Linked DNA regions of Schizosaccharomyces pombe. The gene in region 1 interacts genetically with each later gene. Each region holds a gene or a part of one and is shown in the gene's direction. Other genes may lie near its edges.

What was found.
Region 2: mutations in apt1 (region 1) and ppk14 together harm fitness more than expected from each alone (negative genetic interaction), as found in Schizosaccharomyces pombe (one large-scale study listed by BioGRID).
Region 3: mutations in apt1 (region 1) and erg31 together harm fitness more than expected from each alone (negative genetic interaction), as found in Schizosaccharomyces pombe (one large-scale study listed by BioGRID).

What each region holds. Positions count from the first base shown.
Region 1 is NC_003424.3:4,079,853-4,087,822, forward strand, and holds apt1 (adenine phosphoribosyltransferase), read left to right. Parts: upstream 1-3,803; 5' UTR 3,804-3,833; coding exon 3,834-3,917; intron 3,918-3,957; exon of another isoform or gene 3,958-4,095; coding exon 4,096-4,578; 3' UTR 4,579-4,744; downstream 4,745-7,970. Other genes in the region: protein adg2, read right to left, coding at 1-1,098; ted1 (phosphoprotein phosphatase), read right to left, coding at 1,631-2,923; alpha mannosidase Mnl1, read right to left, coding at 5,168-7,424, 7,482-7,588.
Region 2 is NC_003424.3:768,747-773,166, forward strand, and holds ppk14 (serine/threonine protein kinase Ppk14), read left to right. Parts: upstream 1-1,793; 5' UTR 1,794-1,876; coding exon 1,877-3,577; 3' UTR 3,578-3,920; downstream 3,921-4,420. Other genes in the region: SPOM_SPAC4G8.04 (GTPase-activating protein), read left to right, coding at 1-1,002, 1,066-1,344; tRNA 4-demethylwyosine alpha-amino-alpha-carboxypropyltransferase Trm12, read right to left, coding at 3,927-4,420.
Region 3 is NC_003424.3:931,925-935,656, reverse strand, and holds erg31 (C-5 sterol desaturase Erg31), read left to right. Parts: upstream 1-1,688; 5' UTR 1,689-1,702; coding exon 1,703-2,605; 3' UTR 2,606-3,232; downstream 3,233-3,732. Other genes in the region: SPOM_SPAC1687.17C (Der1 family protein), read left to right, coding at 1-408. UniProt on the Schizosaccharomyces pombe protein: C-5 sterol desaturase; part of the third module of ergosterol biosynthesis pathway that includes by the late steps of the pathway. Erg31 and erg32 catalyze the introduction of a C-5 double bond in the B ring to produce 5-dehydroepisterol.

The sequences.
Region 1 (7,970 bases):
GAAAGAAGAAACGCTTGATGGTACACTGGTAGGGATGACACTACTGTTAGAATAGAATGGTGGGGAGCTGGTAAACGTTGCCGAACCAGTACCAGTACCAGTGTATGTGACAGAAGTGTTTGAAGCAGTCAGCGTAGTAGTGTATGAGCTGCTGCTGGAGGTGAAAGAAGAAACACTTGATGGTACACTGGTAGGGATGACACTACTGTTGGAATAGAATGGTGATGAGGAAACAGTTGCCGAACCAGTGGTAGTGGTACTTCCAGTAGTAGTAAGGTTAGTACTATAGGAAGGAGTGAAGCTACTGAGACTAGAAGAAGAGACTGTAACGGGTGTGGAAGTCGATGTAATAATAGACGTTGGCAAAACAGATGATGAAGACAGGCTGGCAGACGATATAACACTGGAAGGTAAGAAACTAGATGTGTTATAATAAGGAGAGCCTGTAGTAGTAGTAAACGATGAAGAGCTGGGAATCATAGACGTGTTTGTAATGGTGCTAAACGAAGAAGTGCTCGACGCTGGCGGAGGTAAGGTTACAATGTCGGTCGATGTGCCTGTCGAGACACTAACGTCTGTAGAGTATGGAAAACTAGAAGTAGCAGATGAATAAATGGTAGAATTCGCTGTCACAGTTATAGCAGTGCTTGGAATAGAAGTGCTAGCAGAAGCATGACCACTGTTGGTTTGTGAACTAGTGAAGGTAGTCATGCTTTGAAAAGTACTACCAGTAGTAGAAGAGATACCTTCGCCGCCAACAATATAAAAAGTACCAGATTGGGCGTAAATAACAGAGTCGTCGCGAATAGACGTAAAACTAATTTGGTAGCCATAACCTGGCGAAAGATCTAAAGCAGGAAATGTGGCATTTTCATCAAAAGTATTGATGGTCATTATGTAACGGCTTGTTGGTGGATACTCAACTTCGTTTATTAACCAGACATTAGCCTGCAGGGGATCAGTGCTGACCACACTCCATTCCAAGGGTTCAATATGTCCACTAGTCCAAACGTCTGAAGAAGAAGGAACATTAATTTCCATGCCAGCACAAAGCTTGGCTAAGCTAATTAATAGCCCGCTGATGGTTAATCTTCTCATTTCTCAAATAAATCCCTAGTTCGGCAATTGGCAGTGCACAGGCCTTCAGCAAGACGAATACCCAACTAAAAGTAGATGGTTAAGGAAAGAAAGTAAGCGAGAAAGGCGACTTAATATAGCACTTGGGTTTCTGATATGACCTAAGTGTATTAATGCTCAAAAGTGGGGCAATGCTGGAAACTGTATCGATGTAAACAAAAACAATCGAAAAATTGTGGATTCCAGAGAGACATTTATATTTGCACCTAAATTAGATAACGCATTCTTGGGTCGCGTTACTATGGTAACATTGGTCGACTTTGTGTAAATAAACATCCAGCACTACTGCAAGAAAGTACAAAAATGACGTTAAATGTAATTAAGGCACCACGTTAATTCAATGAATCTGCAGGTTCTTGGTTAAAAACCAGCAGAATGGCTGGTAAAAAAGGTTGGTTTCTCTCAAATTCACCTAAAGGCTGGATATATTGCCTGTTTAAGAGGCTGGTGTAAATATAAAACTGTTCATTTGAACAATTAGTGCACAACAATGTTAGATATGTTGCAATGATATTACCAATAAACGTAAGATGGTAAGTACGCATACCGATATGTGAAGAGCCCACCAAATATAAGATGGTCCTCCGTGACTCAAGGTATAAGTGGCATATATGTCGGAACTGAATTTTGACTGTTTCAATGAAGCCTTCTTCCATCGTTGGCCAATGAGTTTTTGAATCAGAAATGTAACAACCGAGGGTGTGTTCTTGGAGGACTCTGTAAGAACATCATTTGTCGCGATCAGTTTGACAAAACCAATATTTCCTCCAAAGTACCCCATTGCGCTGGGTAATGTATGTTCGATGGCACCGTTCGGGTGTTCGTAGTCACAACCCATATGATCATGGCCAGAAAGGACCAATTTGATGCTAGGAATCAATTCAAAAATTTTCATAGTAGTATTATACGATAAATGATTTTGAGACTTGACCCGAAAATCCAATTGACGAACGATTCTCGGTTCGTCAACACACACATTAGCTGGTTTGTAGAGTGGCACATGGGTGAACAGTATGGTTGGAATAGACGGCTCTAAAGCAATGTCGAAAAGAAATTGCCAAGCATCCCTAGCTTCTTTTGAAAGAGCAAGTATACCTAATGATGAAAAACTTTTACTGTTAATAATATCGCTAGGGTTCGCATCGTAAAACTGAACATCATCAAGCGAAAGGCTATTTATGCCGATCACACGGACAGGAAATTTAGAAACATTGAAGTGCGAAACCCAATTTACCGGGCCCATAGCTTGTTCCCATTTGCTAATTTGTGCGTCTGAACTTTCGCAGCCATAGCCAATGTCATGATTACCCGCAATCGTCCAAACGGGAATGTTACCGTTTTCAAAAGTACGTGCTGGTAAACTGGAGTTTCCTACTTGCCAAAAGTTTTTTGCCCCAGTGATTTTTTTCAGTCTTTTAGCTCTTTTGTTGAATTCTTCGTTATCCAAGTGCTGAAAACTGACCAAGTCACCCAACAGAATCATCGCATCTGGTTGACCCCAAAACTGATTCATATGTACAAGGTGTCGTAAAAACAAATCATTCCCCCAAAGATCTAAAGTGCCTTTAAAAAATCCATTTGCTTCGATTTTATGATTCCCTTCAATCTGAGGATCAGCAACCCCCATAATAACAAAAGAATTTTCATCTTCGAGTTGCAGCTTTCTTGGCATTATGCCAAATAGTAGAGGATAGGCATAGTAGACAGCTAAAAAAACTAGGCAAAGATAATGTAAAATAGACAGTTGTTTGTTCAACCATAATAAATTCGGATGTCTTGCAAACATTATTGACTTAATTATGTCAACGTAAATTAAAAAAGGGAACGGAGAGAAGGAGCGATTTTTGGAGTGCCTATTTTTACTTAGGAGCAGACTAAACGAGTAATGTAGAGGCGTAAGATTTTGGTTTTTGCTTTACTTACTAGATTATATAAATGGTATACCACCATAAAAGTGTCAATAAAGCTTTTTAGAAAGATTTGCTTTCAAATAACAAGAAATGAGCAGAACAGAATAGAAAAACAAAAAGCACAAATGAAACAACAAAACTTATTTTTCTAATCCATGAAGCTAGTAAATGGGTAATTTATAGGTATAGCTGCAGTATTCGAACAAACCCACTGCTAAAATTTAGATTGCAAATCAATGGTCAAATGATTGATTCAAAATTCCTGAAAAAGAAGCTTGGTTCTTAGAAAAATGTGTATCGATGTTTGCCGTTGAAATTTTTTTCTGAATTGAATTAATACCAAGTGTATCAGTATAACTGGCTTAAACAAATTAAAAAATAAGCTTTCTACTGAATGTAATAGCAAAAAACGGCTAATAATCTTGACCGAAGTTTGTTTAATGATGAACAACGGATATGACTGAAATTGCTTGAAGTGTATATCAAACTAAAGAAGGAATACCTCAAAACATGGAGTTGTGGCTGACAGTTTTCACGAAGAAAGGAATGGAAAAGAGCGTCGAATTTCAAACATAAACGTTTCTTTTAGAGCTCGTCTTAGCTGCCAAAGTTAACCCGGTACACTACTTAGTATTAATAGGTGAATTATGACTGACGTTTTTTACATTAAACGGATGGTAACATGTTACTTGAAAACAGCAGTCCAAAATTTTCGCTGCATAGACGGTAACGGAAATTGAGTATTTATTTTTTTTTGTAGAAGTTTTTACATAGCAATTTACTAAAATGTCCGACGATAGAATCAATTACCTTAAGAATAAACTTGTTCAATATCCAGATTTTCCCAAAAAGGGAATCTTGTTTGAAGATGTAAGATTTTATAGAAGGAGGAAATGCGCGAGGTTGGATAGGAACGGTGATATTATTTTGCTCAATTAGCGTGAAGTTTGAATCCAAAATACAATTCGAGAGGTTATATTATCTTTACGCCTTGCAATTGCTTAAATACTCTGTTAAATTATAAACAATAAGATGCTAATGTTATTAGATAATGCCCATTTTTCAAGATCCCAGAGCCTTTGGCATCCTTATCGATCTTTTGCTTGAAGCCGTTGAAACTGAATTCAATAACATTGATGTGATTGTTGGTTTGGAGGCGCGTGGATTTCTTTTTGGACCTACGTTGGCTTTACGTGCAAATTGTGCATTTGTCCCTGTCCGTAAGCCCAACAAGCTTCCCGGTGATTTGGTCGTCGTAAGCTACAATAAGGAATATTCTACTGATTCTTTTGCAATCCAAAAGGGTACTATTAAACCCGGTCAAAGAGTCTTAATAGTTGACGACATTCTTGCTACTGGTGGCACCGCCTTGGCTGCTGATGAACTCGTTACTCGTTTGGGTGGTGAATTAGTTGGACATCTCTTCCTTTTAGAACTTACATTTCTTCAAGGACGTAAGCGTCTTATGGCTCCTACTTATACACTTCTTACTGGACAGGATGAAGCACCTGATGGTAGTGAATTTGCTTAAACTATGAACTCGAAGTATGTATAAGCATTTCTAATTTTTAACGTTATATTTGCTTTATTCCTTTTTTATAAATGTTTAGGGTTCTGGGTTTTTTTCTATGGTTTATTCGTCAAGCTAGGATTTTTTTAGTCTAAGTTGTAAATTGAATAAGTTATACATTTTTCAACTAGTATTCTAAAAAGTAGGATTTTTGTTAGCAAATATATATAAATCGGGTGGAAATCGATATCTTAAAATGAAAAAAAAGAAAAAAGGATGCAACATCATAAGGAGAAAAGCTTATAAGGGTCATAAAGGGTATAATTTTTAGAATGGTCAATACCACGCTTTTCTTTAATATAAATAGGTAGATACATTCAGCTTATTATAAGCCTATTGACGAATCCACGTTATAATATAGCCCTCGATTAAAAGTATAATTACAAGAGAAAGCTGAATTATCCAAATATACTTTTATTAAGTATTGAATGGATAAACATCTATAGGCTTTGAAATCACGCAGCACAAATATTTTTTAAATAGTAAAAAGCATATATGACCGCAAGTCTATACACATGCGTAAATAAAAAATCACAAAACAGCGTTATTCCTAGCTGTTTATGCATTTCAGACACAAATATAGGTTTGAAACTGGAGTTCCTTGGAAGTACGAAGGGGCGTCAAAGTCTGATTGACGCACAGAGACGTTGGCCCATTTAGAAACAAAATTGTTTTCATTTTTTAAGAGAATAGTCGGAGGGATGTATGGTTTAACCCAATTGAATAGACTGTTTTGAGAATGAATATTTTCTAACGGATTAATAAATTCACCATCCGTGATGAGAATTAACAATCCTGCCTTATTGGTATTTTTTGCTTGCTGCACCCATGAGCAGTTGCCAAGTGGAGCAATATATGCTGTATCTTTGTCGAGAGTATCGGAGGGTTTTTGACACATACTGTTATTTAACAAGACTGTCTTAAAAACCTTTGAAGGTAAAGAATTATCGTTGTCAAATTGAAGGAATTTTCCAAACGTTTTTTGACCACTGTTCGGATTTTCTAGCTGAGCAATAGTTCGATCAAAGTACAATGCATCAGGTCTTGTGAAGGTCTCATAATCCGGATCGGTTAGGAAGACCGTGTCATTCTCATTTATAGATTCAGCTCCAGCAGTGTATAAAAACAGAGAATTAGAACCTTCTTTTTGAACGAATTTAAGTTTATTACCGATAATGTCGGATATGTATACATTATTGGTTACACGTTCCACTGATTTTATAGGACTAACAAGTGCACTTCCATAAAGGAGTTCAAAACCATCGGAATACTCTGGCCTCTTGCAAACACCCGATGGATCAATTAGATACGAGGGTATTGCTTTGTTATCAATTCCTACTAAATGAGAGACATAATCGTAATCGTCTCTAGATGCTATCAACGAATATAACATTGGCCATTTAGATCTGTCGTAATCTTCTGCAACACAAACTTCTCCACCGTCGTAAATTCTTTGAGAGGTAGACAGTCGTGTTTGATTTGTCACGGGAAACAAATGACCTTCTGTCGTAAAAATAAAATCATGGTGACTTCTGTGAATGGGATTATCATCGTCAAATAATAGAAACAAATATTTAAGGGTTTCGCTCAAAAAGAAACTTTCCATTCGATTCGAAAGTGTATACTTTTCTAGATTCTCTACTGCCGCAAATCCACAAGGAGTCCATAGGTGGTTTTCGATATTACTTAGCAGTAATTCACCGACATGAAGATAAAATACATCTTTAGTTGCCCTGTATAAATAATATGTAGACTCAGCAAATTCAGGACGTAAAGGATAACCGTTTAGTTCGATGGACTTTGTATACAAGTTGTAGCGCTCTGGTAATTGCCCAAACTTCAAATAAATAGAAAAATAGTACAAATGCATTTTCTTGGCAAGCTCCAGTTCGCCCGCCAATACCAATAACCCAGGGAAATAAGCACTCAAAGAATCAACCCAGCGCGACATCACCATGCCATTAGCTGAATAAACGTTTTGATAGTAATATTCGTTAAGAGAAGCGGTATAATGCCGTAATGATTCCAAAGACTTTTGCCAAACTTCTAAATACCGAGGATCTCCAAGAAAGATATAAGATTTAAAAGCATATTCGTAAAAGCTATCGATGCCTGCACCGACTCCTGAAACAGGATAAATCCATCTGCCACTCAAAACGTCGATACTATTGCCCAAAAGACCAATACCTGACCTTCGCTTCCATACGGAGAAAAAAGCGTTTTCAGCAGAAGCTTTAAACTTATTATTCCCAGTCAAAGCAGTAAGCATAGAAAATTCCAATACCAGGCTGGAGGCCGCAGCAGCACAGTTTTCGGTTACCTCACGATACGCGACACCCTTCATTAGATTGATTCTTGCAAAAGGAATTCCAGTAGGTGTTCGAAATGCAGGAAGTAAACGTTCTGCTAGTTCTGTAGCCAATGTCAATAATTCACCCTTATACAATGGGATTTGAAATCCATATTTTTCTTCTGAGGCAAAAATATGAGATGAAAGTAGTCCTCCAAGAATTCGGATGGTTGCTTCGAAAACTTGTACTTTTGTGTCTCGTTCAAAATTAATATGATGAATGACTTTGTCAACAGCATCCTGAAACCCTTCTCGGTCTCCCAAAACCACCAAGGTATCTAAAACATCGACCAATGTCAACAAATAATCACCTCGAACATCGTTGACACCAATGTTGTTAGGATTTTCGTAGTCCGGTCCCAACCCTTCGCAGGACAATGGGGCGAGCTCATCGTTAGGAAAGGCAAATTGCATGTAATTGTTATATCCATGATAAAACAGTCTCCGAGAAGTTTCCCTAGTAAAAGTTAGCTTTTTAAAATTTCCGTAGAGTAAGAAACATTATGTATCAAACCTTAGCTCTACCATTCTCGCGGAGTTTATGGCCCCAACGATTGAGTTTTCTTTAAAAATGCATAGTAAAATCAAACAAACACAGAAAATCGAGTGCAAGCTACCCATTTAATATATGGGTTTATGATTTTATACCGTATTTTACAAACAAGAAAGCAGTTTTAGCTTTTTTTTAATATGTATCCTCCTTAATAGTATCCCCTGTCCAAAGAAGTCTTGAAAATGCAAAGCAAATCTTTGTGCTATAGACCTTACTTTTCTCTCTATTTTTTAAAAACTTCCATGTAAAAAATTTCGATTTTAGTGTGACATATATTTTAAAAGCAACTTTGGTTTGGCCATGTGCTACTTTAGTAGCGGATGTCATCTACTAGCTTGTCGAATGAATAACTTCGAGATGATAAAGGACGGTTAAAGGCAACTTTAGCAAAGTTAAGAAGATTCGTATGTTCCATTCCCTTAAAATTTACTTAAAATTTAAACAATTGCA
Region 2 (4,420 bases), 3.3 Mb from region 1:
ATTGGTTCTGTGGAGTTGGGAAATATGATTCCTAAGGAAACCCAGCCGCCCTCAATGCGAAATGATTGGAAAGATTATTTAGATAATAATTCCAAGGAAATTCTCGATCAATTTGGTTTTTTACAAAAACGACCAAGTCACGACACCCCTTTATGTCCGGAGGACATAAAATTAAATCAGAAACAGACTCTGTCGTTCTATGAAAGCAATTATGGCTTGGTTGATGATTTTTTTGGCAACGAGTTAGATGGGCTCAACGATTCTCCATTGTTGCTAAATAAAAAAGATATTTTATTGGATATGAAAGAAAGTACCCGACAAAAAAACTGGAGCTTGTTTTTTCAACGCTTGTACAAAAAATATAAAATTACCGATGAGGATACAATTGGTTTACTAGGAATATCTAGCATAGGTGTTAAAGGGCGTCATGGTAAAAAAAGATGGCATAAATTTCGTGAACTTGTGAAAAATGGTGTTCCTTTGTGCTATAAAGCTAAAGTTTGGTTAGAGTGCTCAGGCGCTTATCAATTACATTCACCTGGCTATTATGAAGAACTATTATCACGTACTGATGAGGTTGAATCAGCGAGTGTTGCGCAAATCGATATGGATATTAACAGGACTATGGCTAAAAATGTATTTTTTGGAGGAAAAGGACCTGGAATCCCGAAATTACGACGAATTTTAGTTGCTTATAGCCGCCACAATCCACACATAGGCTATTGTCAAGGAATGAATGTTATTGGTGCCTTTCTTCTTTTATTATATGCTTCAGAAGAAGACGCGTTTTATATGCTAATGAGCATAATTGAAAACGTTTTACCTCCGAAATACTTTACTCCTGACCTGATGACTTCGCGAGCTGATCAGCTGGTTTTGAAAAGCTTTGTGAAAGAGTCATTACCGGAAATCTATTCCCATTTAGAATTACTTGGGGTTGATTTGGACGCCATTTCATTTCATTGGTTTTTAAGTGTATATACTGATACACTCCCTACGAATGTACGATAAGTGGTTTTGAAAGATTATTAAAGTATGAATTGTTTACTAACTACTTTTTTTTAGATATCTTTTAGAATATTTGACATGTTGTTTTGTGATGGTTATGTATGCTTATTTAGAGTTGCACTTACGATTCTAAAATCTTTAAAGCAACAAATTTTAGCATGCAATTCCTCTTCTGCCATCTACTCATTTTTGAGTGATTTGGTTCAATACTCTTTTCAACCCGATTCGTTTATTAAAGAGGCTGCTGATCGGTGGTCCAAACTTGTTACGGAAAAGAGTATTGAACGGAAACGTAACTTGGCTATTTCTTCGTTAAACTTAGCGGTCAATTATTGAGTTCTTTGTTTTGTTTTACTGGTTTGATTCGTGATCGTTGGTAAGTTATGATCTTTAATAAATAAAAAAGCTTTTTGTTGCCTCATGGGCATCTTATTCATTTTTATGTTGGGTTACTCATGAATATAATTTTTTAATGTTTTCCATCACTGTATACTATGACTGGGTTATTTTAATGCTGTTTCAGGAGTCCATTTCATTATAATTTGGAAGTATAGAATGTAAAATCTTTTTTGAAAACTCTTGTATGAAGCTAGGCAATCCATGCATAACTTTCACTTATAGTTTTTGATTTGTTTGGTTTAATAAACATAGACAGATTCTTGCTCTTCATATATTTTCCTGTATGCTATATAAACATTGCTCTTACGGTTTGTGAGGTACAACGATCGATAACGCAGTCGGTTATATTTCTAGTATATCATAAGTGTCAGTGTCTCAGTAATGTCATCCGGTGTACTTTCCGCCATACACAAAAATATCAGTGGAATTGAATTGTATTGCGACCGACTCGTAGCACTTTCAAAAGCAAATGAATGAACTTCATGATGGTGAGAGCTCTGAGGAAGGAAGGATCAATGTTGAAGATCACCTAGAAGAAGCTAAGAAAGATGACACAGGACACTGGAAACATTCCGGCACTGCCAAGCCATCCAAGTTTCGAGCCTTCATAAGGCTGCATTTTAAGGATAGCAGAAAGTTTGCTTTTTCTCGAAAGAAGGAAAAAGAATTGACGTCGGAAGATAGCGATGCTGCAAATCAATCACCTTCTGGTGCACCTGAGTCGCAGACCGAGGAAGAGTCTGATCGCAAAATTGATGGCACTGGTAGTTCCGCAGAAGGTGGTGACGGGAGTGGTACTGATTCAATTTCCGTAATAAAAAAATCGTTTTTTAAAAGTGGGAGGAAGAAGAAAGATGTTCCCAAGTCGCGAAATGTTTCTCGTAGTAATGGTGCTGATACCTCAGTTCAGCGAGAAAAGTTAAAAGATATTTTCAGTCCTCATGGGAAGGAAAAAGAATTGGCTCATATTAAGAAAACTGTTGCAACGAGAGCGAGAACATATTCTTCCAACTCTATCAAGATATGTGATGTTGAGGTTGGTCCATCTAGCTTTGAAAAGGTTTTTCTACTTGGCAAGGGAGATGTCGGTCGAGTTTATCTTGTTAGAGAAAAAAAGTCTGGCAAATTTTATGCCATGAAAGTTTTGAGTAAGCAAGAAATGATTAAACGCAACAAAAGCAAACGAGCTTTTGCAGAACAGCACATTCTTGCGACAAGTAACCACCCATTCATTGTTACACTTTATCATTCTTTTCAATCTGATGAATACCTTTATTTATGTATGGAGTATTGTATGGGAGGTGAGTTTTTTCGAGCTTTGCAACGACGTCCTGGCCGTTGTTTATCAGAAAACGAGGCCAAATTTTACATTGCAGAAGTTACCGCTGCATTAGAATACCTCCACTTGATGGGATTTATTTATAGAGATTTGAAGCCTGAAAATATTTTGTTGCATGAGTCAGGACATATTATGCTTTCTGATTTTGATTTATCTAAACAATCAAACTCTGCCGGTGCACCAACGGTAATTCAGGCCAGGAATGCACCATCCGCTCAAAATGCTTACGCATTGGATACAAAATCATGTATCGCAGATTTTCGCACAAATTCATTTGTCGGCACAGAAGAGTATATTGCTCCAGAAGTTATCAAGGGTTGTGGTCATACAAGCGCTGTTGACTGGTGGACTTTGGGTATTTTATTTTATGAAATGCTATATGCCACGACTCCTTTCAAAGGTAAAAATAGAAACATGACTTTTTCGAATATTTTACACAAGGATGTTATATTCCCTGAATATGCGGATGCTCCTTCAATTTCCAGCCTTTGCAAGAATTTGATTAGAAAATTATTAGTGAAAGATGAAAATGATCGCCTTGGGTCACAGGCTGGTGCTGCAGACGTGAAGCTTCATCCTTTTTTTAAAAATGTCCAATGGGCTCTATTAAGGCACACTGAGCCTCCGATTATTCCAAAGCTTGCCCCTATTGATGAAAAAGGCAATCCTAATATTTCCCATCTAAAGGAAAGTAAAAGTTTGGATATTACTCATTCTCCCCAAAACACACAAACAGTTGAAGTTCCCCTATCTAATTTATCGGGTGCAGATCATGGAGATGATCCCTTCGAATCGTTTAATTCAGTTACTGTGCATCATGAGTGGGATTAGGTCATTTTCTTTTCTTCCTGTAACTTGCATATTGATGGTAATTTTTCGCACGTCTATGATATTTTTCTCATCTTTTTGTTTAATCAATCCATTATTAAAAGAGCATTTGCTGACTTCATTCATTGCATATATTGATACGTTGTTGAGGCACAAAATATTTCGCTTAACTAGATTCTCCTTTTCACCACAAAGTCTTTCTTTTTTCTACCTTACTTTTACCAGATTCAGACATGCTTTCTCTATTTTCAATAGGAAGTTAAATAAACTTCTAGACAGAATATAACATATACCATTCTAATAACATATTTTGTAAAATAACCAAAAACCACCTTAACAAAATTACCATTAACTAAACCGTCTCTATATCGTAAACGATATGTGACACTCGTGGTGAAAATGATTTGACACAATTTGTAACACAAACTGTATTTTTAGCCAACATTTTTGAAAAACATGAATTCACTTCAGAAGAGTATGTTTCGATATCTTCATCTTTTACGTTCTCATGAACATGTATAAAGGAATGTGATTCTCGCTTTAAAATTGAAGTAGCGGTTGACCAGGATTTTTCACTAGAGGGGAGCATTCCCAAATTTATATGTCGAGCAGAAATATTCATTTTGGAGAACCTTTCAGCTGCATAAACGTTGCTTTCCAAAAAAACTACAATACGATGAGTTCCTACTTTAAATTCATAGTTTTCTCCATTTCGAACTACATAAATAGACCAGCCATTTTTCAAAGCAGCTCTCCTTAACGCTTCAACACTCCATGGATTAATTTCCCAGCAAAAAACTGTTGAAGCTCCCGCTTTAACGTAAGAAAATGTAAAGTACCCTATAC
Region 3 (3,732 bases), 3.1 Mb from region 1:
ATAACTACATTCCTTTATGTTGGGCCTTTTGGATTAGAGTTGATTTTATATTTGTCGTTTCTACTTCGTTTCATGAGTATGTTAGAAAGATCTAGTCCGCCGCCTCAAACACAGAGCTTCTTAAAAACGGTATTGATAGTATGGTTTTCTCTTTTAGTTACCTCCTATTTTTCCTACATGCCATTTGCAGCTTCTTACTTTTCATTTACCATGTTATACATATGGTCGTGGAAACATCCACTGTACAGAATCTCGATACTAGGTCTTTTCGACGTAAAAGCACCTTATGTTCCATGGGTAATGGTATTATTGCGCTGGTTACGAACTGGGATCTTTCCACTGCTTGATTTAATTAGTGCTTTGATTGGACATGTATACTTCTTCGTTACAGATTTTTCTACAGTATGACGCCTGAAGAGAATAAGAAAAGAAAAAAAAGTAAATAAATACCACACTTGTTTTCTGATTGACTGCTGCCTATTGATTCCTTTTCTATCTTTACAAGTCGATTTCTATTGAGCTTGTGAAAGACTAGGGATGGCGAATAGTCACTGTCTTTTGTTTATCTAAAATGTTAGATGAATGATTTCCCTAATCAAGGGCACGAATAATATTACGAAAATTTCAGGAATTCGCAGGCGTTTCCTGGTTTGCCAAGCCATTCGAGCTTTTCTTGTTATTTCTTAAAACTAAGTAATAAATGTTTTATCTCATTAGTTTTTTTTTTTTTTTTTTTTTTTTTTTTTTTAAAAAAAAAATTGGGCTACAAGCTACTATTTGTATGTTTACTTTATGCGCGAGCAACATTATGATTTCTGAATAATCGCTATTTCCATTTTAAAAGTGTTGTATTTAAGATATAATGAAAATGTAAAGTATGTAAATTATATACTATATTATATGCGAGTATTTCAACATGGGCATGTGGTGTAGATGGTTATCACGCTTCCTTAGCATGGAAGAGGTCCCAGATTCGAGTTCTGGCTTGTCCAAAATTTTTGTTTTTAAATAATTTTATTATTTTACTTTATTTATTTTTTTTTTTTTTTAAACGACTATGTTCTAACTGCGTATTTATCGTCTTAAAACATCAGCAACATATTGCATACTCTTGAGAAATACCATTATCGTTCCTAGACTTACAAATGCAAGTGGATTAAAAAGAACAAAATGGGGGTACCAAATTAGTCCAAGTCTAAGAATAGCAATCTAGCGTAACCTCTAAGCCTTTGAGAACAAACCCGAGATGGAGGAATGTTAACCTTCTTTTTTCAATTTTTTATCTTTCTTATTTAATTTTTCATCTCATTTACTTATAATAGTTTTAAGATTAGATCTTGTATCGTAAAGTTGATTATTTTCGACTAATATATACCCACTTGCTCGATATCAAACATTCATGTCCAACCTCGTTGTACTTGTTGAATAGCGAGCCCCCGTAGTACTATTCCCCCACATAGTAAGTGTAAGAGATTCTTCCCGCCACAGTGATGTCCTTTCCGATCTGCCCTATCTACCTCTCACTAACCGAAGTGTATAAGCCACCTCTTTGTTTTTTGATAAAAACTTTAACGAAAAAGATAACTCGGTTTCCTATTGACTAATTAATAGCAGCCAACTAGATATCGCAATCAAAATCAGACCATTTTTTGGTACTTCTTATACGCTACCACCGGTCAATAGATTTTAAGCAAACACCTCAATGGACTACCTACTCAACTATGCTGACCAATATGCGCTGGATTCGATATACAATGCTGTATATCCATTAGCTCGCGACAATATCGTTAGACAGTCGATCAGTTTGTTTTTTTTAACTTGGTTTGGCGGTATGTTCTTGTATTTAACATTTGCGTCGCTTTCCTACCAATTTGTGTTTGATAAAAGTCTGATGGATCACCCAAAGTTCTTAAAAAACCAGGTGTTCATGGAAGTTCTAACGGCTTTACAAAACTTACCTGGTATGGCGTTATTGACGGTTCCGTGGTTTTTGGCTGAGTTGCATGGGTACAGCTACTTATACGACAACATCAGTGATTACGGTTTAAAATACTTCTTATGTTCCTTACCTCTTTTTGTCATGTTCTCAGATTTTGGCATTTACTGGGCTCATCGTTTCCTTCATCACCGTTATGTATACCCTCGTCTTCACAAACTCCATCATAAGTGGATTATCTGCACTCCATATGCATCCCATGCTTTCAAATCCGCTGATGGCTTCTTACAATCTCTTCCTTACCATCTTTTCCCCTTTTTCTTTCCCCTTCACAAGTTGACCTACTTGGCTCTTTTCACCTTTGTCAACTTCTGGTCCATCATGATTCACGATGGTAAATACATCTCCAACAACCCCATCATCAATGGTGCTGCTCACCATAATGGCCATCACATTTATTTCAACTACAATTACGGCCAATTCACCACCCTCTTTGATCGCCTCGGCAACTCTTTCCGGGCCCCCGATGAGGCATGGTTTGACAAAGATCTTCGCCAAAACGAGGATGTTCTTCGTGTCGAATTGATGGAGTACGAGGCTATTCGTAATGAAGTTGAAGGTGATGATGATAGAGAATACATCGCTAACTCTGCTAAGAAGAACCATTAAACAACATATCTAGACTCAGAAGAGTTTGTCTCTGAAAAGATTTTACTTTTTTTTTTCGTTTTCATCATTCCCATTTCATTTTTCCCCGTTGGTTTTACTCTTTTGGTCACGTATTTCTATTTCTATGGTTGGTATTACATGCATTATTTACCCGCTCTACCTTCAGTTGCTATAAAGGAACAATGTGAGCGATTTTATATATCCTTTGCAAACTTTTTGCTAATTTACATTTCGAGTCTCTTTAGCATTCCCAAGTTTGTTTTTTTTCGGTTTATTCTTTTAGAACGATAAATCCAGAAAATTTGGAAGTCTCGCATCTAGTCATTCACTCCTTTCTTTTCAAATGACTTGTTTTTTTTGCTTTGCAATTTCTTACCACCTCCCTTTTGAAACGTTGTTTGTTCAGTTGGGTTGATTGGTACTATCATCTCACAAATAATTTACTTCAAATACACTCGTTTTTGCTGTTCACGTCGTTGTAGTTGTTTGCTAGTTTCGTATACGAAATGAAAATTTTGCTCTTATCTTTACTTTTCTATTTTGAAATAAAATGAATGTCAAGCTTACACATGTCATCGACACTAATTTTGATTTGCAATAACTAGTAACTATTCGTTTGTAAACCACTGCTAATTAATCAAAAATTACCAGACTCCTTTCCATTTATTGACTTAGTATGTAATTAGATTTACATGTTTTTCTATTTCTATTTACATATTGATATCTAACGTTGCCAGATGATTTCCTAGAATTTTGTACCCTTTTGATGTTTGCTATATCTTAGGTAGTATTGAATCATAATATTACTTCGCCTCACCAGCTTCTTTCATGTAGTCTACGAAGCAAAAACTTAGTAATGACTCTACCAAAAGAATTTTTAATGAGGACAAAAAAATGAATTAAACAATAATAAAAACAAAACATTCTTTTGAAACCTAACCATAAAATATTAATTGAATCAATCACAAACATTTTACTAGTATAAGAATTATGATATATATGTATATATGAGATTCTGCAGTATACTTTCCAGAATGAAAGAATTACCGATTACATTTCTCATCCAATTAAAGTTTTAAAGTCGCTGAAAAACTTTCAGCAAACTAAGATGGTCTACTTATGACTCC